4 linked regions of the Saccharomyces cerevisiae S288C genome follow. The protein of the gene in region 1 purifies or fractionates together with the protein of each later gene. This does not show direct contact. Each region holds a gene or a part of one and is shown in the gene's direction. Other genes may lie near its edges.

Region 1 (4,815 bases):
TTCAAGTTAGCATATTCCAAAATTTTACCACGGTTAAGAAATTGGGCAAAATTTTCATCTAATATGGAAAAGTCTCTATTGTCAGAAAATGATACACTTTGCGTCATTTCTAAAGATCTCCAATCTTCGTGTAATTTTTGTAGTAGGTGGCCGCGCTTGTCGTTGCATAAACGTGAGAACTGTAAGTTTTCTAAAGTTTTGGTCCATCTTGTATAGGATTTCATTAGTTTATCCCTCATCTCGAGCATTCCTAGTATTTTGCTATATGAATTTCTTTCGAATGCCACCTGAATATATCTTGGTAAATTAGCCAGTGATGTATCGTATAAATTATTATGTTCATGGAATGTCTTGGAGTAAAAATCGCTCTGTTTATTCGGGAACAAAGTAGAAAATCTCGAGAATATCATGTAATCTAGGGAATCTGTTTGAACGTTTTTAATCTTTAGGTTTATGAAATGGAAATAAGCATCGGGAACTAAACCCAGGTACATGTATAAAACAATCAGCCAGCACATAGTATCGAAGTTATGAGGGTCCTTGGCTTGGTAATTTTCCAATATCGTTATACACAAAAGCACGTCTTTCAATTCAGGATTAGTTTTCTTGCACTTGTCCTTGACTATTTCTAATAAGAATGTAGAACAGGAGGAATAATCCGTTACCGATTTTTTTTCCAGGGTCCCCTTAAACTTGTTATAGTTATTGATTGAGTCGCTTCCAATAAGTCCCAATTCTAGAATATTACAATGATGAATCAAATCCTTATCCTCTGGATCGTACTTAGACATAATGCTCTTAAGCATATCTATGTTAATGTGGCCGCTGTAATGATTCAAATCGATTGAACAACAAGGTTTGTTATGGTACTTTGATAAATAGTACGACAAAGATGATTCCGAAACCGAATCGGTGTACATTATATCAAGTTTCAAGCGCGCCAATCGAGTATTCCTTGAGTCTCCCAAATTTTCATCAATCCATTGTTTGACTTCGTCTTTAGATTTAGAAAGTTTGTAGGCAGCATCAATCAAGTTTGTGATCAATTCATAATCATCAAGGCCCTTTTCAATAAGTTTTGAACAAACTTCAAAAAGTTTTTGTGGAGAATTCAATAACTTGGTATGCTTCAAGATAAAGTTTTTCAAATACAAGTTTACTGAAGTATCAAAATTGGCAAAGGTAATCGCAACAATCTCTTCCGAGATTTCTCTAGATTGAGGGAATAGTTCATCCAACACCAAACAATAAACTATAATCTCTTGAACATTTTGAAATGGTTTCAAGTCTAACAAAGACTGGCGCGCTAGCCTGGAGAGCAAAATTTTCTTGGGATCTGAAAGAGTGTTTTCCTGAAACCTTGATACGGCTAAAATCGAGATTGCATTCCAAAAATAATATGCTCTTTTAGGCAGGTTTCCACTGTCACTGTATTTAGCTAGCTGTAGAGATGCTTTGCTCATTTGGTTATAATTGGAATCTTCCAATGCTTTCATAAACCAGTGATAAGACAATTCGTAGCTAGGGAATTTGAAATTTCCTCTTTCATACACGTGCAATGCTTCGTCGTATTTCCCTAACTCTACGAAGAAGTTGTGCAAAAACTCCAAGGAACGCGTGTCGCCCGTAATCGTTGTCCCTTTCAGCCCATATGGTTCTTCTAGCAGTTTATTGTAATCGAACTTACCAGGTGACTGCTTGAATTTAACATAGGTTTCCAAAATCTTGAAGTACAACGCATTGGGAAATTGTTTTTGCAATTGCCCCAGTTTTGCATAGCATTGTTTGAAGTTGGACCTGCTTACTAGTCCTAATATCTCCTCCTGTATCTTGTCGGACATGCTTCGATGCGATGATTGCTGTACCGAGCTCGTTATGTATCGTTGCTTCGCCAATGAATTCTGTTGCAGCTGACATTTATTATTTATTTTCCTAAAGCCCTCGGCGGTCCGTGGACAGTGATTTTCGTTAAAGGTGACTGAAAAATTTTAGATGCTCATCGCGATGGTTCTCAAAGAATCTATCACCTAAAAAGATACAGAAATTGCTATAATATTTACGAGTTAGAAGGTTACTTAGCCTTATTTTGCTTCACGTCTTTCTTTATACATTCGTCAGGTGTTGAAAGAGTTCAACCAAAGATGTCTTCTATCTACAAAGCCCTCGCAGGAAAGAGCAAAGATAATAAATCTGAAAAGAAGCAAGGCAATGTCAAGCAATTTATGAACAAGCAAAGAACTCTTCTGATTTCGAGTAGAGGTGTTAACTATAGACATCGTCATTTAATTCAAGACTTAAGCGGATTATTGCCTCATTCCAGAAAGGAGCCAAAATTGGATACTAAAAAGGATCTTCAACAGTTGAACGAAATCGCTGAGTTGTACAATTGTAATAATGTTCTATTCTTTGAGGCCAGAAAACACCAAGATTTGTATCTATGGTTATCCAAGCCGCCAAATGGGCCAACTATAAAATTTTACATTCAAAACTTGCATACTATGGATGAGTTGAATTTTACAGGTAACTGTTTAAAGGGTTCTCGTCCGGTATTGTCGTTTGATCAACGTTTCGAATCCTCCCCACACTACCAATTAATTAAGGAGTTGCTAGTGCATAATTTTGGTGTACCACCAAATGCTAGAAAATCTAAGCCATTTATTGATCACGTCATGTCCTTCAGTATTGTAGATGATAAAATATGGGTGAGGACATATGAGATCTCACACAGTACTAAGAACAAAGAAGAATATGAAGATGGCGAAGAAGACATATCATTAGTGGAAATTGGCCCTAGGTTTGTTATGACTGTCATTTTGATCCTAGAAGGTTCATTTGGTGGTCCAAAGATCTATGAAAATAAACAATATGTTTCGCCAAACGTCGTAAGAGCTCAAATTAAACAACAAGCTGCTGAGGAGGCAAAGTCTAGAGCTGAAGCTGCTGTGGAAAGAAAAATTAAGAGAAGAGAGAATGTTCTTGCCGCCGATCCTTTATCAAACGATGCCTTGTTTAAATAATAAGCATAATACTATCAGAGAGTTTTACATAACATTGTATATTAAAAAGATATAACAAGAAAAGAGTGGATGTAGCAACTGTCTAGTTATAGACCTCTTTTTAATAATTTAATGTTTAAATCTTGAATATCGAAAGCTGTATATATAAAGAATATTTATTGTATGTACAAAAGATCTTCAACCGCGCAGCAATCAAGCTATATTTACGCATCTTGCTTTTCCGAATGTTTCTTTAAGTAGTTTTCAATGAATTTTTCCTCGTCTTTGTTGTCTGTTTTGATGTCGACTGTTTTTGGCTTTGCGCTTTTAAAAGGATTTGGAACAACCAATAAACCTAGCAGTCCTAATGTCCCAATGGCTAGTTGGTGTGGAGGGATAGCTTTCCCCATGAAATGATAAGCAGCACCCATTGTCGTAGTTATAAATTATTATTTGAAGTCACCTGGCCTTATTCAATGCTAACGAGTTATGTGCTCTATGGGGGGACTTGCTCCTAAAAAGCTCTTTTTTTTCCCTTTGCATCGAGAAGCGGACTCTGACCAATCACCATCGAGATCGCGATGAAGTATTTTCTATACCATATTTAGATATAAACCAAAATTAATGCTGGTAAGATGCAGTATAATGGGTTTTACTTATTTATGATTCATTCTATAAGCGCTTAATAAGTTTTGTAATCGCGTCACGATCTCAGTACACTCTTGACCTGAAACTGCTTCAAAGTAGTACCTTTTGATATCATCTTGCCCCTCTCTTCTTACGAAAATTTTGAAATGCTCAGGGACTCTTTTGGATTTTTTGACAAGAACCACTTGACTAATGTGTAACGACTTAGTCTTTACATTATCATGCCAATGTATACGTCCCTCCGGGGGTACAATGTATATGTAGTCGCCATCAATGGCTAGTGTTCTTTCATGCTTGTTTATAAATGACATTTGCTGCCTTCTCCATACCTTATATTTATGATACGCTCCGGTAAAAAGATCTTGGAAGTTATCTCCAACTCCATTTGGAGTGTCAGGCGTGTGCTCCATCGTACTCTGAGAACGGTTTATATTATGAAACTGCAGTGTCCCATGCAAAGAGGATTTGGATGAATTCTTGTTCTTGAAAAACCCATTTCCATTGGCGAGACCGCCAGCCGTTGAAACACTTCCACTAGCAACACTTGATGACGAATGCTGCTTTGCCAAGCCCAGCTTATACTTCGTGGATATCTTCTTAGCTTTGGATGTAACTTTCGTGTTTTCAGGAATGGCAGCCACAGCCCCTCCAGCATCTGCTTTGAGATAAGAGTTCAGAGGCTCCAAAGTTAACGGAGTTAGATCATTACTTTGGATCGTTGGCAAAACGGGCTTCTTTAGGTCAGGTTTCATTTTTTCCAAATGCAACTCCCTTGCATCTTTTTTAGAGATGAGTTCCACCTTATTAATACCATCGAGCCTTAATACCGTATCATTCAAGTCCAGTATATAGTTCTTTCCTAGAACTTTTAATGCATATTCATTAGGATCCATATTTTTCATTTTGCAATATTTTACCAAAATATCGTTTATATGTGAGGTCACTAAAACACTTATGGTAGTATAGTTAAATTTGGGATTCACGTTAGGATACAAATATACTGTTACATCAATGATTTTCGAACCGTTTGTCTTATCGATGTCGTCTTCATTACCTATAATAGGTTTGTAGAAACTTAGTTGGTTGATGGTTCCGTCAGTTGTATCGTGACTGCTGTTAGCATCCAAAGTAGAAGCATCCATTAGGCCCCCACCAGTTTCAAATGGTAAAG
Region 2 (4,976 bases), on another chromosome or scaffold:
ATACATAAATAAATTTTAACATTAATATATAAAAAAATAATAAAAAAATGTATATTTTTTAAAATGTTTTAAAATATTTTTAAAAAGCTGCACGTGACTAACTAGAACCATTTCACAACAACTCAATTAATTGCGGCTTCACATCTACTTGCTTATAGGGAAGAAGTAAAGAGAATAATCCGATTTATTATAGGGTTGCAAATTTTATGTGTACATTACTTTTTTCTTACATAGTAAATCTACTCCTCACCATCGTCTTCATCAAGATCGGGGAGCGGGTATTTTAGAATACAGGCTATACCCGTCAATTGATCAAGTTCTTCTCCAAGAGAATGCAAAGTACTTAATACCAATGCTTTTCCTCCATTGCTCTCTACGGAGTCCATCAGTTTCAAATATTCCTCTCTTTGTGCAATATTGTCTGAATGCAAAACTTTATCTGTTAACAGTAAATAACTAATTGCGCCATACTCAGCCGCTTTAACTACCTCTTTTTCACCATACCAAGCTTTATCATCATCCTTGTTTAAATGCAACAAAAATTCATCCATCACCATGATTTCTTTGGAGTATTTAGTATCTTGCAGCTTTGAAGCATATAGTGGATTTTTCAAAACTTCATTAATGCCCTGTAAGTAGCCCGTGGAGCAGTGGGCTATAAAGAACATTCCTTTGTTATCGAGTATTTTCTTATTGTGTTCCTCTTCGGCATACTGGAAAATTTTGTCCATTAATATCTTAGCGTAGAAACCTGGAGAGCAAAGAATAATAGTCTTTAATTTATCAAAATTCAAATCTTTCTTCATTGCACTGTAAATTGCTTTATAAAATTTCTCAGTTTTTTCATCAAACTTCAGTACATCAGTAGTCCTTTTCTTTTTTGGCATACTATATTCAATTTTTTGTTTTAAAATAGTAGAGGAGGATGTCACTAAACAAACATGGGCGATCCCTTCCTGTAAAACGACCGCCGCGGTGTCTGATTTATACTCGATATTACAGGCTTCATTTAAGAGCTTTTGCATGAATTTATTAAAGTTTTGTTTTATGATAGTAAAGGGATACACGTAGTCAAGGGTAAAGCTCAAATATTTGCCGACAGGTATGTCAACATTACTAGCTCCACTTTCATCTGTAACAGTAACACCTTTATATTTCAAATATTCATCCTTCATATCAAAATCCTCGGATATTACTTTAATCTTCAACTTGACCAAATCTGTACTTTTTTTCTTACCAGCTTCATCAAGTTTAGAGGTGAATTTTTTCTTGAATATCAACTCGTCATCTTTGTCTACTATTTGATAAACAGTAAACAGATCTTCCTTGTCCTCCGGTAAAAGAGTAATCACTGCTCCTCCTTTGTTAAAAGAATCCTTTTTCAGACTAATAACCTTCATATTTTTGCTATGATAGGAATGCGATAATTGAACAAAATGACAACGATGCAGCAACGAATGCTTAATTTTTTGGGATCTTCATTAAATTACATTTTACATTAATATACAAAACTAGGTGAATATTGAATAATGTATGTACACTTTCATCACGCAGTACGGATTTTTGGTAAAAAGAAAATTTTTTTCAGCTCTGCTTAAAAAAAGCTGGGAAGCGATGAGATGAGAAAAGTCTAAGTTGTTTGGTACTTTCGTTATTAAGTTCCTAGAAAGAAGAGGCTGCCACAGGGAAAAAGAATAAGATATACAAGTCACAATGTCTTCAACTCAAGACAGTAAAGCGCAAACTCTTAATTCTAATCCAGAAATTCTTTTGAGGAAAAGAAGAAATGCTGATAGAACTAGAATCGAAAGACAAGAATTAGCTAAGAAAAAGAGGGAAGAACAAATCAAAAAAAAGAGAAGTAATAAGAACAAATTTGTCAGAGCTGAAAGTATAGTTGCAAAGACTTTGGCTACCTCTAGGGAAAAGGAAAGAATTAAAAGAGTGTCTATATTAGAAGATAAGAAGGCAAAGAATGAAACGCAGCATATTGCATCTGGGAAAGATTTTATTCTGAAAATAACAGAAAAAGCTAATGGCGCCGAAGAGAACTCTGTCGACTTGGAGGAGACTGAAGAAGAAGAAGACGATGGTTTAATCAGAGAAAAGACTACTTACGATGGCAAACCTGCTTTACTTTTCATTGTCAGAGTAAGAGGTCCGCTTGCTGTAAATATTCCAAACAAAGCATTTAAGATTTTGTCTTTGCTAAGATTAGTTGAAACTAATACTGGTGTTTTCGTCAAATTGACCAAAAACGTATATCCGTTGCTCAAGGTTATTGCGCCATACGTAGTGATTGGCAAGCCTTCTTTATCTTCTATCCGTTCCTTGATTCAAAAGAGAGGTAGAATAATCTATAAGGGTGAGAATGAGGCTGAACCTCACGAAATAGTTCTTAATGACAACAATATTGTCGAGGAGCAATTAGGAGATCATGGAATAATTTGTGTTGAAGATATTATTCATGAGATTGCCACTATGGGTGAGTCTTTTTCTGTTTGTAACTTCTTCTTACAACCATTCAAGTTGAATAGAGAAGTATCTGGATTTGGTTCTTTGAATAGGCTAAGGAAAATAAAACAGCGGGAGGCTGAATCAAGAACTCGTCAATTTTCAAATGCAGCTACAGCACCAGTTATCGAAGTTGACATTGACTCTTTATTAGCCAAGTTGAATTAATTAAGAGAGTATTTTAAAATTGTATAGTACATAGGTTGTTAGTTATCTAATGCCATTGAAGGAGCAGATATTGAGCTTTTGCATATAATTAGTGGTGCCTCATGGATTGAAGAATATACGTATTTTGGCAAGTTTATTGGTTTTTAGTTTATGTATCGGCAAAAGCACGGGCGCCTCTTTTTTTCCTCGCTTACTGAGCGCTGTTTTGTATATAAATACATTTGCAGTGGGGTGCACCCTCGAGAATATATGAGATCATTAAAGCTCCACTTGTTGTAAATTGTTTGGCGATTTTATATGTTTAGACACACCGATGAACTAAAATTCGCTTTGAAAAGTTTGCTATGAATACTTTTTTTCTTTCCTTGCTAAGTGGCGCCGCTGCTGGTACCTCTACGGATTTGGTTTTTTTCCCTATAGACACAATTAAAACCAGGCTTCAAGCTAAGGGTGGATTCTTTGCTAATGGAGGATACAAAGGCATATATCGTGGTTTGGGAAGCGCTGTTGTAGCATCGGCGCCAGGTGCTTCACTTTTCTTTATTAGTTATGATTATATGAAAGTAAAATCAAGGCCATATATCAGCAAACTTTACTCACAGGGATCTGAGCAATTGATTGATACGACAACGCACATGCTTTCCTCTTCCATTGGTGAAATTTGTGCTTGTCTTGTTCGAGTTCCCGCAGAAGTCGTTAAGCAAAGGACGCAAGTTCACTCTACCAATTCTTCCTGGCAGACTTTACAGTCAATTCTACGAAATGACAATAAGGAAGGTTTAAGGAAAAATCTTTATAGAGGGTGGTCTACCACCATTATGAGAGAAATACCGTTTACTTGTATACAGTTTCCTTTATACGAGTATCTAAAAAAGACTTGGGCAAAAGCCAATGGCCAAAGTCAAGTGGAGCCATGGAAAGGGGCTATCTGCGGTTCTATTGCGGGTGGGATCGCAGCAGCTACAACGACACCATTAGATTTCTTGAAAACCAGATTAATGCTCAACAAAACAACCGCCTCACTTGGAAGCGTTATTATTAGGATTTACAGAGAGGAAGGTCCTGCTGTATTTTTCAGTGGAGTGGGGCCCCGGACAATGTGGATCAGTGCAGGTGGTGCTATCTTCCTAGGCATGTATGAAACTGTTCATTCGTTATTATCGAAAAGTTTCCCAACGGCTGGAGAAATGAGAGCGTAATGAAAACATAGAGCAAAAGCAACTACCAGTTGTAAGAGGTAGATCGTTTACGTACTTTACGTAAGCCTTCTGAGGCCTCTTGTCTGTTGTTTATTTTTTGTTATTCATATAAAAAAGTCGTCTATTTACGATATCTGTTCAAAGTACTTTTTTGGATATTTGTTAAACCCATTTTCACTGTATTGGAAAAATCAGACTCTTTTCACAGTCTTCTTCAAAGTCTTCGAAATTTTTTCAGATTATACGTATACACAATGACATTATAAAGTTAAAAAGCCTGGAAATAAGTCAAGAATGAATAAATACTTGTCGCAGATCCAATAGGTGAGAAAGTATATAGATCGAGAGTAGTTCTAGAGGCGTTTAGCGTACGATATATCCAAATCACAACCCCCATAGTTATAATTATTCAATCTTTCAATACAAACATCTGCATCATCGACGTTATCGTATTCAACGACAGCTATTCCAGTTGGTGCCCCTTTGGAATCATACCTTAATTCAGCATTGTTAACCTTTCCGATTGTCTCGAAAAGGTCGTAAAGATCACTTTTTGCAGTTGAAAATGGCAAATTACTGCAATATATGAGTCTATTTCTTTCACCTCCACCGACAACGTTTTCGGTAAATTTTCGAGCTTCTTCGTTAACGGGAGAATCATCCATTGGGATATCAACATCGTCTCCATCACTGTGGTTATGTACGCTTTCCTTAGACTTGACATCCAAGACGTTACCCTCTATACTATAACCGTTGTATTTCTCAATCGCTCTATGCAGATCTTTAATATCATAAAAGGACACCGTACCAGATCCAGTGGATACTCCATCGCCATCCAATTCCACATCAGCGTGTGCGACATTCCCACATTCCTTGAATATGTCTTTCAAAGCCTGCCAATTAACGGAAGCAGGTAAATTTTTTACAATAACTTCATGTGTTTTTCGGTTATGTCTAAGCTCTCCTCTATCGAGTGCTTTCCTTTCCTTGATATTGTTTGACGGTGGTGGATTATCTTGCCTGACGAAGATTTTACGATCCATGAAGAAGGCCCCATCGTACTGGCGGATGGCCCTGTCAACATCATCCGAATTA
Region 3 (5,935 bases), on another chromosome or scaffold:
TTTTCTCTCACCATTGTTTCTGTTCTCTTCACATGCGTTAGGTATAGCTTATACCCCCCACTGGTTGCGCTAAATACGCCTTCCCCACCGCATGTGAAAAAAGCTCGACCAAGCTCAACGCGCTGTTGCAAAATGGAAAAAATATAAAAGGAATCAAGCCATAGTTGAGAAAAGACCTTTCACACTTGGGCTTTTCTTTGGCAGGTGTTTGCTCTATTCTTCTCTTTCAGTTTGGTGCGCTATTCAGATTTATTGGTCGTCCTACTGTATACATCTCTTTCATTTTCTTTGTTTCTGCAGTGGGTGTTAAAATGGGAATACACATACCATATCTCACGTCAAAGACATCGCAATCAAATGTTGGTGATGCCGTTGGCAACGCTGATAGTGTAGAGTTCAACAGTGAGCATGACTCACCTTCAAAGAGAGGTAAAATTACACTTGAGTCACATGAAATACAGAGGGCTCCCGCTAGCGATGATGAAGATAGGATTCAAATTAAACCCGTGAACGACGAGGATGACACGTCGGTCATGATCACTTTTAACCAATCTCTTTCGCCCTTCATCATCACTCTGACTTTTGTCGCATCCATATCCGGTTTCATGTTTGGTTACGACACTGGTTATATATCCAGTGCGCTGATCTCGATCGGCACAGATCTGGACCACAAGGTACTTACTTATGGGGAGAAGGAAATTGTCACTGCGGCTACCTCTCTGGGAGCTTTGATTACCAGTATTTTCGCCGGTACTGCAGCTGACATATTTGGTAGGAAACGTTGTTTAATGGGTTCGAATCTGATGTTTGTCATTGGCGCAATCTTACAGGTCTCCGCACACACATTCTGGCAAATGGCTGTTGGTAGACTGATCATGGGTTTCGGTGTCGGTATCGGCTCCTTGATCGCGCCACTTTTCATCAGTGAAATTGCTCCCAAAATGATCAGAGGGAGACTAACTGTCATCAATTCCTTATGGTTGACTGGTGGTCAATTAGTCGCTTACGGTTGCGGTGCTGGGTTAAACTACGTCAACAATGGTTGGAGAATTCTTGTTGGATTGTCACTAATTCCCACTGCTGTGCAATTCACATGCCTGTGCTTTTTACCTGACACTCCAAGATACTACGTTATGAAGGGCGACTTGGCAAGGGCTACTGAGGTGTTGAAGAGAAGTTACACTGACACTTCGGAGGAAATCATTGAACGTAAGGTGGAAGAACTTGTTACTTTGAATCAATCTATTCCTGGTAAGAATGTCCCTGAAAAAGTCTGGAATACCATCAAAGAATTGCACACAGTACCATCTAATCTAAGGGCTTTGATCATTGGTTGTGGTTTACAAGCAATTCAACAGTTTACCGGTTGGAATTCGTTGATGTATTTCTCTGGTACCATCTTCGAAACTGTCGGTTTCAAAAATTCTTCCGCTGTTTCAATCATCGTGTCCGGTACCAATTTTATTTTCACTTTAGTTGCCTTTTTTTCCATTGACAAAATAGGCCGTAGAACCATATTATTGATTGGATTACCAGGCATGACCATGGCTTTAGTCGTGTGCTCTATTGCTTTCCATTTTCTAGGTATTAAGTTTGATGGCGCTGTCGCTGTGGTGGTTTCCTCCGGTTTCTCCTCTTGGGGTATTGTGATCATCGTATTTATTATCGTATTTGCTGCGTTCTACGCTCTTGGTATCGGTACTGTTCCATGGCAACAATCGGAACTATTCCCCCAAAACGTGAGAGGTATTGGGACTTCATATGCAACTGCTACAAACTGGGCTGGTTCACTGGTTATTGCATCCACATTTTTGACCATGTTACAGAATATCACTCCTGCAGGTACATTTGCCTTTTTCGCGGGATTGTCGTGCTTATCAACCATTTTCTGCTACTTCTGTTATCCAGAATTATCGGGATTGGAGTTAGAAGAGGTACAAACTATTTTGAAGGACGGGTTCAACATCAAAGCCTCGAAAGCTTTGGCCAAGAAGAGAAAACAGCAAGTTGCCAGAGTTCATGAATTGAAATATGAACCAACTCAAGAGATTATAGAGGATATATAGTCCTTTCACGAGGTAAAAGGAAGGAGACGCAATTGAATATTCAAATACATAGTAGAAAATAAATAAAAATAAATTACAAGATAGAAAAAAGTTCATTGTATTTAAGTCGAACTAATTGTTGTATGCATATATAGAAGATTAACTAACCCGGCATTGAAGACCTTTTTTTTTTTTCACCTTGAGAGAAATACTGAAAATTTTTTTTGCTGGGATGAGATGAGATGCCTACCTAAAGTATTTCGAAGGTGAAAGCGTTTTATTATAGAGTACTGAAATAAAGCACAATCAGGAATAACAAATTAACTGACAATGGCACCTTTAACCAAGAAGACAAACGGAAAACGTTCTGCTAAAGAAGTTAGTCATTCAGAAAAGAAATTAGCCAAAAAACCTAGAATTTCTATTGATTCGTCTGATGAAGAATCAGAACTATCCAAAAAGGAAGATGCTGTATCCTCTTCATCAGATGATGATGATTTGGATGATTTAAGTACCAGTGACTCTGAAGCAGAAGAAGAAGCTGACGAATTAGATATTTCCGATGACAGTGAGGAACATGAAAATGAGAATGAAGAGAAAGAAGGAAAGGACAAATCTGAAGGAGGTGAAAATGGAAATCACACTGAACAAAGAAAACTGCTAAAAGAAAGGAAAATGCAAAGAAAATCTGGTACCCAAGTGCAACAAATTAAATCCGTCTGGGAAAGATTGCGTGTGAAGACCCCACCTTTACCAAAACAGATTCGTGAAAAACTTTCCAACGAAATCTGGGAGCTATCTAAGGACTGTATCAGTGATCTTGTCTTAAAGCATGATGCTTCCCGTATTGTTCAAACTTTAGTCAAGTATTCGTCCAAAGATCGTCGTGAACAAATTGTCGATGCTTTAAAGGGAAAATTTTATGTTCTAGCCACATCTGCGTACGGTAAGTATCTATTGGTTAAGTTACTGCATTATGGTTCAAGAAGTTCAAGGCAAACTATAATAAATGAATTACACGGTTCTTTGAGAAAATTAATGAGACATCGTGAGGGTGCCTACGTTGTTGAAGATTTATTTGTTCTTTATGCCACACATGAACAAAGACAACAAATGATTAAAGAGTTTTGGGGCTCTGAATATGCTGTATTTAGAGAAACCCACAAAGATTTGACCATTGAGAAAGTTTGTGAAAGTAGCATTGAAAAAAGGAATATTATCGCCAGAAACTTGATTGGTACCATTACCGCATCAGTAGAAAAGGGTTCCACCGGCTTTCAAATTCTACATGCTGCTATGAGAGAATATGTGAAAATAGCCAACGAAAAGGAAATATCTGAAATGATCGAATTGCTTCATGAACAATTCGCTGAATTGGTGCATACTCCAGAAGGTTCAGACGTTGCTTGTACTTTGGTTGCTAGAGCTAACGCCAAGGAAAGAAAGTTAATTTTAAAGGCTTTGAAAAACCACGCCGAAAAATTGATCAAAAATGAGTACGGTAATATTGTCTTCATTACAATTCTGAACTGTGTTGACGATACAGTTTTAGTATTCAAGACTTTCAGTCCTACTGTTAAGGAACATTTGCAAGAATTCATAATTGATAAGTTTGGTAGAAGGCCTTGGTTATACATACTATTAGGTTTGGACGGTAAGTATTTCTCACCTATCGTCAAGAATGAATTATTGAGATACATTGAACTGTCCAAAGCCACCTCTAAGAAGGATCCTTTACAAAGAAGGCACGAACTTTTGTCAAAATTCGCCCCCATGTTTTTAAGCACTATATCAAAAGATTATTCCAGTATATTGACAGAGAATCTAGGCTGTCAGTTCATTGCCGAAGTTCTAATAAACGATGAGTTGTACGCGCAGCTGAATGAAAAAGACCAAGAAAAGTATCAACAGGTCTTAAACAACATTTTAACTACTTTTAAGGGTGACATAACCGAAGAAGAGCACCCAATACATAGAGCATTTTCTACTAGACTATTAAAGGCACTAATTCAAGGTGGTAAATGGAATAACAAAGAAAAAAAGGTCATACCATTAAAAAATGTTCAAGGCTTAGGCGTTCCATTTGCTGAAAAGTTATACGATGAAATTATTGACTCCTCCAACTTGTTAGAATGGATTAATAACGCTGATAGTTCATTTACAATTGTTGCACTGTATGAAACGTTAAAAGATCAAAAAGAAGGGAAACCATTTTTGAAGGATTTGAGAGGAGTTCAGAGTAAAATCACCACTGATGAAAGTAACAAAGGCTCTCAGCTTTTGGCTAAATTGTTAAAATAAATTTTCTACGATAAAGTCACAATATTTGGTATATAAGCATCTGTACAATAATAATAAAAAGCTTGATCTCATTGAAAGTGCAGGTATATATAATTGTCTCCTAAAAACTCCTTACATCGCATAATATCTGTTGAAGATACCGTTCCGATGGGAAAAAAAGGCAAGTTTAACTGGAAATATTCATATGTACTTACTATTTTATAACGACATTAGTGAATCAGAACTATCATAACAGTCAAGGAGACTACCTTTTTTTGGTTGCAACCATAATATTATAGAACCATGGTAAAAAAGAAAACGAATAATGACAAAGGAAAAGAAGTAAAGGAAAATGAAGGAAAGCTCGATATAGATAGCGAATCCTCACCTCACGAAAGAGAAAATGACAAAAAAAAAACAGAAGATGATAGTCTACGTGCAACAGAAAGTGAAGAGACGAATACACATAATGCTAACCCAAATGAAACAGTACGAGCTGATAAATTTTCCCAGGAAGAGAGTCGACCAATCGAAGACAGTCCACATACTGATAAAAACACAGCACAAGAAAGCTGTCAGCCTAGCAGCGCAGAAGATAATGTCATAAATACAGATATTACAAGCTTAAATGAAAAAACCTCCACGAATGATGAACAGGAAAAAGGGTTGCCACTGAAAATAAGCGAAGGTCCTTTTACAATCTCTACCCTATTAGACAATGTACCATCTGACTTGATATACACATGTTGTGAGGCGTATGAGAACCACATATTCTTGGGAACAACTACAGGTGATCTTTTACATTACTTTGAACTTGAACGTGGAAACTATATGCTTGTGTCGCAAACAAAGTTTGATGCAGAATCAAATTCGAAGATAGACAAAATCCTTCTTTTACCTAAAGTAGAAGGCGCACTAATATTATGTGATAACGAACTAGTTTTATTTATTCTCCCAGAATTTGCACCAAGGCCCAACACAACTAGACTTAAAGGTATTAGTGATGTCGTTATTTGTAATTTTTCCCGAAGCTCGAAGGCTTATAGAATATATGCATTTCACGCAGAAGGCGTAAGACTACTCAAAATATCTGCAGATTCATTAGTACTTACCAAAGCTTTTAATTTCAAACTAATAGATAAAGCTTGTGCGCACGAAGAAACATTAATGGTTTCGAAGTTAAATAGTTACGAACTTATAAATCTAAAGTCGTCACAGGTAATTCCATTATTTCGAATAAGTGAGACTGACGAAGACTTAGAACCTATAATAACCAGTTTCAATGAACAGAGTGAATTTTTAGTTTGTTCTGGAGGAGGATCATACGATAGTGGGGCGATGGCCTTAGTGGTAAATCATCATGGCGACATAATAAAAGGAACTATAGTGCTAAAAAATTATCCAAGAAATGTAATTGTTGAGTTTCCCTACATAATCGCTGAGTCTGCTTTCCAGTCGGTTGACATATATTCTGCCTTGCCGAGTGAAAAATCCCAGTTGTTGCAAAGTATAACTACTTCTGGATCGGATTTAAAAATTTCAAAATCTGACAATGTATTCACTAATACCAATAATTCTGAAGAATTCAAAGAAAAAATATTCAATAAGTT
Region 4 (5,644 bases), on another chromosome or scaffold:
TTACAGTTATATTTATTTCTTGAAAAAAAAAAAAAAGAATAATTAATCGTAAATTTCATTAGTTAGAATGTCGTCCCAGGTAAAAAAAAAAAGAAAGAAAAAAAAGGTGAATTATCATTCAACACTATATCTGCATGGTTTCATCACCATCAGAATCATCAACATTCACCTGGAATGAAGCTGCGTGTTTTCTTGCAGGATTCTTATCGTTAGTAGTATCATAATCGTTAATGGCTGTGGTATCATTGCTGCTCATCGAGGCCGTACGTGGGGTTAAAAGTAAGTCAACTTCATTGACATATTTCTTCACGCTAGTAGAGGAACCTTGCCTCGATAAGGTTTTGGGGGTATTGAAATTTGAGCGCGATTCTGGAGTGGTGCTGAAACAACCGTTCATCAAGCTATTCTTTGGTGGCTTAGGGTCCAAGACAAAAGTAGAATTCTTTTTCACGAGGCCTGACTTGGATGATGATAAAGAAGTACCGTTTTTGTTAGCGTGAAGATAGTCGAATGTGCCTGCAGGCTTAAGAGATGTCATGGATAATGTTTTCTTCAGAGTGTCTCGAATTCTATTCAATGATCTTTCACGAGAATTAATGGTTCTATCAACGTAAAGGTCAGGCAAATCCATCTTGCTGCTGAAGGCGGTGGAAGTTTCAGAGGACCCGCCATCCATATTTAAATACGCTAGAGTAGTTGTCTTTCTTGATTTGGAAGGAGACCTCAATGTGTGCATGGACGCTGTAGAAGATACCCTTCTTATTGTTGGATGAAAGGAGAAATTCGGCGTGTCCTTAGTATTCAAAGAATTTGAAGTAGCAAAATAATCCTTAATAAAGGGATGCTGTTTCAAATTCTTAGCAGAACGCCTAACGGCCGGGTCAATAGTAAAACAGCATTGAACAAAATTCCAAAATTGTTCGTATTTAGGGTCGTGCATCATTTGTTCGTCGACGTAATAGTCACATTTTGAAATACATTCCAGAGTTTCGTCGTCTGTGGTACAGTCAAAGGGCGTATAGCCGAAGGCCATGAAATATGTCAGTACACCAAGGGCCCATATATCCACCGGACAACCATACTTGTCTAGTTTGCCAACTTGATCAGGAGTCATTTCACCGACACCTTTGCACTTGACGATTTCTGGAGCAATATACGAGATGGTTCCAACAAACTCCTTTAACGAGTTTACCTTACTTGTGTTATATTCAGCAGCAAGACCAAAATCGGCGAGAACTAGGTCGTGTGCCAAGAGATCGTATTTGAAATCTCCGTGGTGTTCACCCTGTAGGTTTTTTTCGTTTTCGTTCACTCTCAATCTGAATAAGACGTTTTCTGCTTTCAAGTCTCTATGAACAATACCTTGAGAATGCAAAAACTCGAGAACGCTCACCAAACAGGCGCAGTACGAGGTAACTTGAGTTTCGAGGTCTAAACACTGATTTTCAACAATTTTTTCATACAAATCTCCCTTCTGACACAGCTGAGTGATCAGGACAATGTTATCTGCCGTCTCAAAATAGTCGAAAAGTTGTAAAATATGGTGATGCCCCTCAAAAATGTCCAAAGAATGTTCATTCTTTTTTTCCATATCTCTGATTTTCTCGCTTATTGACCTCAAAAGGTCGAACTCTCTTTGAATAAGTTGAATTTTGTTCTTGACAGTTTGTTTCTTAATAAGCTTCATCGCGTACAAATCCTTTGTGTGTATATTCATACATTCTTTCACGACGCTAAAATTCCCATCGCCCAAGGAGTTGTGGTTGGTTACGTATTTACATTTGAAGGTTTGAGCGTCTGCATTGCTGCCACTCAGTTGCGGCCAAGGTTTTTCTTCCGGCAGGCGCTGTTGTAGCTGGGAAGCAGAAGAACTAGCTGTAGTCATATCCTGGATGTGTATTTTTCTTTTTGAACTGTTGTAATGTCAATTGTATGAAAATATCGCGGTTTGGCTGAGACAGTCGTGGTAGGTAACTGAAGGAGCAAACAAGAAATTAATAAATAAACAAGTTAGCAAAACAAATAAAAAAACTGTCACTCTAAATAGAAAGAAGTAAAGAAGCAGAAGAAGTCATCCCCGTTCGACACGTTTTCATATTCTGAGTACATGATAAACCCCGCCCTCTTTTTCTTTTTTTAGGAATCCCCCTTTCTATTGTCAGAACAAGAAAGCGGTGTTGGAATTCAAGCAGCTTTTTTTTTTTCTTTTCGTCATACAGTTTCTTTTTCAGGAGTCTTGGTAGCACCCCACCCGTGGAATCGGCGGAATAACCTAACACGTGGAGGTTTTTCCGAGGTGCCAAAAAAGGAAAAACAAAGAGAAGCTGAAATCGGAATTTGAAGAATAGCGTGGGGGGGAGGGGGTTATTCAAGGAGCGCCTGTACCGGCAACGATAGCTTCGGCGGCTAAGATGGCAAACCTAATAGATGTATGTAAAAACATGGATGATAGCAGGCGGTGAACAGCCATGGTAATTTTAGGGAGTGCAAAAGTTATATGTAAGGCTATATCTGTATCAGTTAACAGGGGTGGAAAATGATTTGATAGGCGCAATATGTTTATTGGTAAAAGAGCATCTTAAACCACTTCATTCCATTTCTCACTATCACAAGTGATATATTATGTGTATTTTGCAATCCATGACGCTTTAATGCTTTACAAAGCGCTGCTACTTCTATTTTCTTAACGTAAAGAGGAGTGTATGACGACTAAGAATTGTTTACCCGGCGAGAGTCGATTCTTCGTTACCCGAATTGAAAATTTTTTATTTGCTTTTTCTTTTTTTTTTTTTTTTTTTTTTCAATATTAGCTTTAGCGATGAGATGAGATTTTATAGTGTATACACGGTACTTGAGTACATAGCTATTGGATAACTGTATACTATAATAATTAGATAAGCTGAGCAATATTAACAGGAGAAGTATGGCTACCCCGTCAAATAAACGTTCTAGAGATTCTGAATCTACAGAAGAACCTGTAGTAGATGAAAAGAGCACTTCAAAACAAAACAATGCCGCACCTGAGGGAGAACAAACTACTTGTGTGGAAAAGTTCGAAGAACTAAAGTTATCACAGCCAACTTTAAAGGCCATTGAAAAGATGGGATTTACCACTATGACTTCTGTTCAGGCAAGGACTATCCCACCTCTTTTGGCCGGTAGGGATGTTCTTGGTGCTGCCAAGACAGGTTCTGGTAAAACTCTAGCGTTTCTCATCCCTGCTATTGAACTATTGCATTCTTTGAAATTCAAACCAAGAAATGGTACCGGTATAATTGTCATTACGCCTACAAGAGAGTTGGCTTTACAGATTTTTGGAGTGGCAAGAGAGTTAATGGAATTCCATTCACAGACATTTGGTATTGTCATTGGTGGTGCAAATAGAAGACAGGAAGCCGAAAAATTGATGAAAGGTGTTAACATGTTGATTGCTACCCCTGGAAGATTATTGGATCACTTACAAAATACAAAAGGATTTGTATTCAAGAACTTGAAGGCTTTGATTATCGATGAAGCGGACAGAATCTTAGAAATTGGGTTTGAAGATGAAATGAGGCAGATAATTAAGATCTTGCCAAACGAAGATAGGCAATCCATGTTATTTTCAGCTACACAAACGACCAAAGTTGAGGATTTGGCTAGAATCTCGCTGAGACCGGGCCCTCTTTTCATTAATGTCGTTCCTGAAACCGACAACTCCACCGCAGATGGATTAGAACAAGGCTATGTGGTATGTGACAGTGATAAGAGATTTTTGTTGTTATTTTCTTTCTTGAAAAGAAATCAAAAAAAGAAAATTATTGTATTTTTATCATCTTGTAACTCTGTGAAATATTACGCTGAATTATTGAACTATATTGATTTGCCAGTCCTCGAATTACACGGTAAGCAAAAACAACAAAAGAGAACAAATACATTTTTCGAATTCTGTAATGCGGAAAGAGGTATCTTGATTTGTACAGATGTCGCAGCTAGAGGGCTAGATATCCCTGCTGTGGACTGGATCATTCAATTCGACCCTCCTGATGATCCAAGAGATTATATTCATAGAGTCGGAAGAACCGCAAGAGGCACTAAAGGTAAGGGTAAATCTTTAATGTTTTTAACACCTAATGAATTAGGGTTTTTAAGATATCTAAAGGCTTCCAAGGTCCCATTAAATGAGTACGAATTCCCGGAAAACAAAATTGCAAACGTTCAATCACAATTAGAAAAATTAATTAAATCCAACTATTATCTACATCAAACAGCCAAGGATGGTTATAGATCTTATTTACAAGCGTACGCTTCCCACTCTTTGAAAACTGTCTATCAAATCGATAAGCTGGATTTAGCCAAAGTAGCAAAGTCTTACGGTTTTCCAGTCCCTCCAAAGGTTAACATTACAATTGGTGCCAGTGGAAAAACGCCAAATACCAAAAGACGTAAAACTCATAAGTAATTTCAGAGGATCAATTTTTAATGCTATTAATGTGTACGTGGAACCAACACAACCGAAGTATTCATCTTCTGTTCTCATCGCACTCCTTTTCCTTTCTCTGCTTCTCCACTGTATGTCATTTAAATAAATGTATAAACCGCTGTTTTCTGTTTGTTGTCTTCTACGTACGTTGTCTGTATCAACCTGCACATATTTGAGTATGTAAAATCATGATTTGTAAACTATTGTAAAAAAACTTCATTGATATGAAAATCTGTCGTCTGCTCAATATTTTGTCTTCACTGTTCCCTTTATGCATCCCATGACGCCATTGAAAAGCAAAACTTCGTTGCCAACGGTAAGGCTTCCTATATCTATATCTCCCTCTTCAATAAGGCCGAGCCGCAATAAATAATGACGCATTGTTCCGCACAAACATCCAGTTGCTAATCTTGGTGTCACATACTTTTTAGAACCGTTAGGATCTTTTTGAATTACAGCCACGTTTGTTATTGAACCTTCCATCAGCAGGCCAGATTTGTTGGAAAATAAAATTTCGCATTGCGAGACAGAAGAAGTAGGTTCTGAACCTCTTAAGTTATTTATAGCAGTTTGCATGCGAACTCTCGCCCTAGCGTAATGATCTCTTGAAGTGGTTTTAAAACTGGTGAAAGCTGATGCGTTCAATGGTTCAGATGAAACAACAACATCCCAATTTATTGTGCTATCAATTAAAAATCCATTGAGCATCGTTTTGATGAAGTATGTGGAAACACTGTCATAATCGGTTGTTAATTTTAGGATAGGCTCCATAGGCATTGGAATTGCCTCAATTCGTATATCTCCTGTCTTAGAGACAAGTACCCGCATTTTATAGCATTGCCTTTCGTTGATCATTTTTTGAATTTTTTCGTGATACTCTGAATTTCCTTCTTTACAATTAATCAAGTTTTCAACCAATAACTTCAATAAATCATTCAGAGACGTGCTGAAGTCAATTTTAAAGTATGATAATGCTATTCTTATTCTTTGGTATTGTTCATCTAATAAAAAAAATCGTTCATAAATGACTTGTAGCATATCTTCTACACGCTGGCACACAATGGTCTTGCAATCATGCTTCCAAGCATCAGGATGCTGAATATTTTCGAGAAGGTCACCGCCGGAATTAACCTCCCTTACTCGTAAATAACTTGAGTAATCCTCATTAATTATCTGCTGCCT

Evidence for each region.
Region 2: the proteins of BRX1 (region 1) and RLP7 purify together in Saccharomyces cerevisiae (affinity purification with mass spectrometry; 4 studies listed by BioGRID). This does not show direct contact.
Region 3: the proteins of BRX1 (region 1) and PUF6 purify together in Saccharomyces cerevisiae (affinity purification with western blotting; 4 studies listed by BioGRID, with this or other methods). This does not show direct contact.
Region 4: the proteins of BRX1 (region 1) and HAS1 purify together in Saccharomyces cerevisiae (affinity purification with mass spectrometry; 4 studies listed by BioGRID). This does not show direct contact.

The regions. Positions count from the first base shown.
Region 1 is NC_001147.6:184,050-188,864, reverse strand, and holds BRX1 (ribosome biogenesis protein BRX1), read left to right. Parts: upstream 1-2,141; coding exon 2,142-3,017; downstream 3,018-4,815. Other genes in the region: MDM20 (Mdm20p), read right to left, coding at 1-1,841; ATP19 (F1F0 ATP synthase subunit k), read right to left, coding at 3,221-3,427; AVO1 (Avo1p), read right to left, coding at 3,653-4,815. UniProt on the Saccharomyces cerevisiae protein: Required for biogenesis of the 60S ribosomal subunit.
Region 2 is NC_001146.8:623,880-628,855, reverse strand, and holds RLP7 (Rlp7p), read left to right. Parts: upstream 1-1,713; coding exon 1,714-2,682; downstream 2,683-4,976. Other genes in the region: ribosome dissociation factor DOM34, read right to left, coding at 240-1,400; PET8 (Pet8p), read left to right, coding at 3,027-3,881; HRB1 (mRNA-binding protein), read right to left, coding at 4,235-4,976. UniProt on the Saccharomyces cerevisiae protein: Involved in the biogenesis of the 60S ribosomal subunit. May act as a specificity factor that binds precursor rRNAs and tethers the enzymes that carry out the early 5' to 3' exonucleolytic reactions that generate the mature rRNAs.
Region 3 is NC_001136.10:1,439,844-1,445,778, reverse strand, and holds PUF6 (Puf6p), read left to right. Parts: upstream 1-2,375; coding exon 2,376-4,346; downstream 4,347-5,935. Other genes in the region: myo-inositol transporter ITR1, read left to right, coding at 312-2,066; CORVET complex subunit VPS3, read left to right, coding at 4,629-5,935. UniProt on the Saccharomyces cerevisiae protein: RNA-binding protein involved in post-transcriptional regulation. Component of the ASH1 mRNP which transports the ASH1 mRNA to the distal tip of the bud, where the ASH1 protein is translated and targeted to the daughter cell nucleus.
Region 4 is NC_001145.3:848,871-854,514, reverse strand, and holds HAS1 (ATP-dependent RNA helicase HAS1), read left to right. Parts: upstream 1-2,923; coding exon 2,924-4,441; downstream 4,442-5,644. Other genes in the region: protein kinase TDA1, read right to left, coding at 125-1,885; aminodeoxychorismate lyase ABZ2, read right to left, coding at 4,706-5,644. UniProt on the Saccharomyces cerevisiae protein: ATP-dependent RNA helicase involved in 40S ribosomal subunit biogenesis. Required for the processing and cleavage of 35S pre-rRNA at sites A0, A1, and A2, leading to mature 18S rRNA.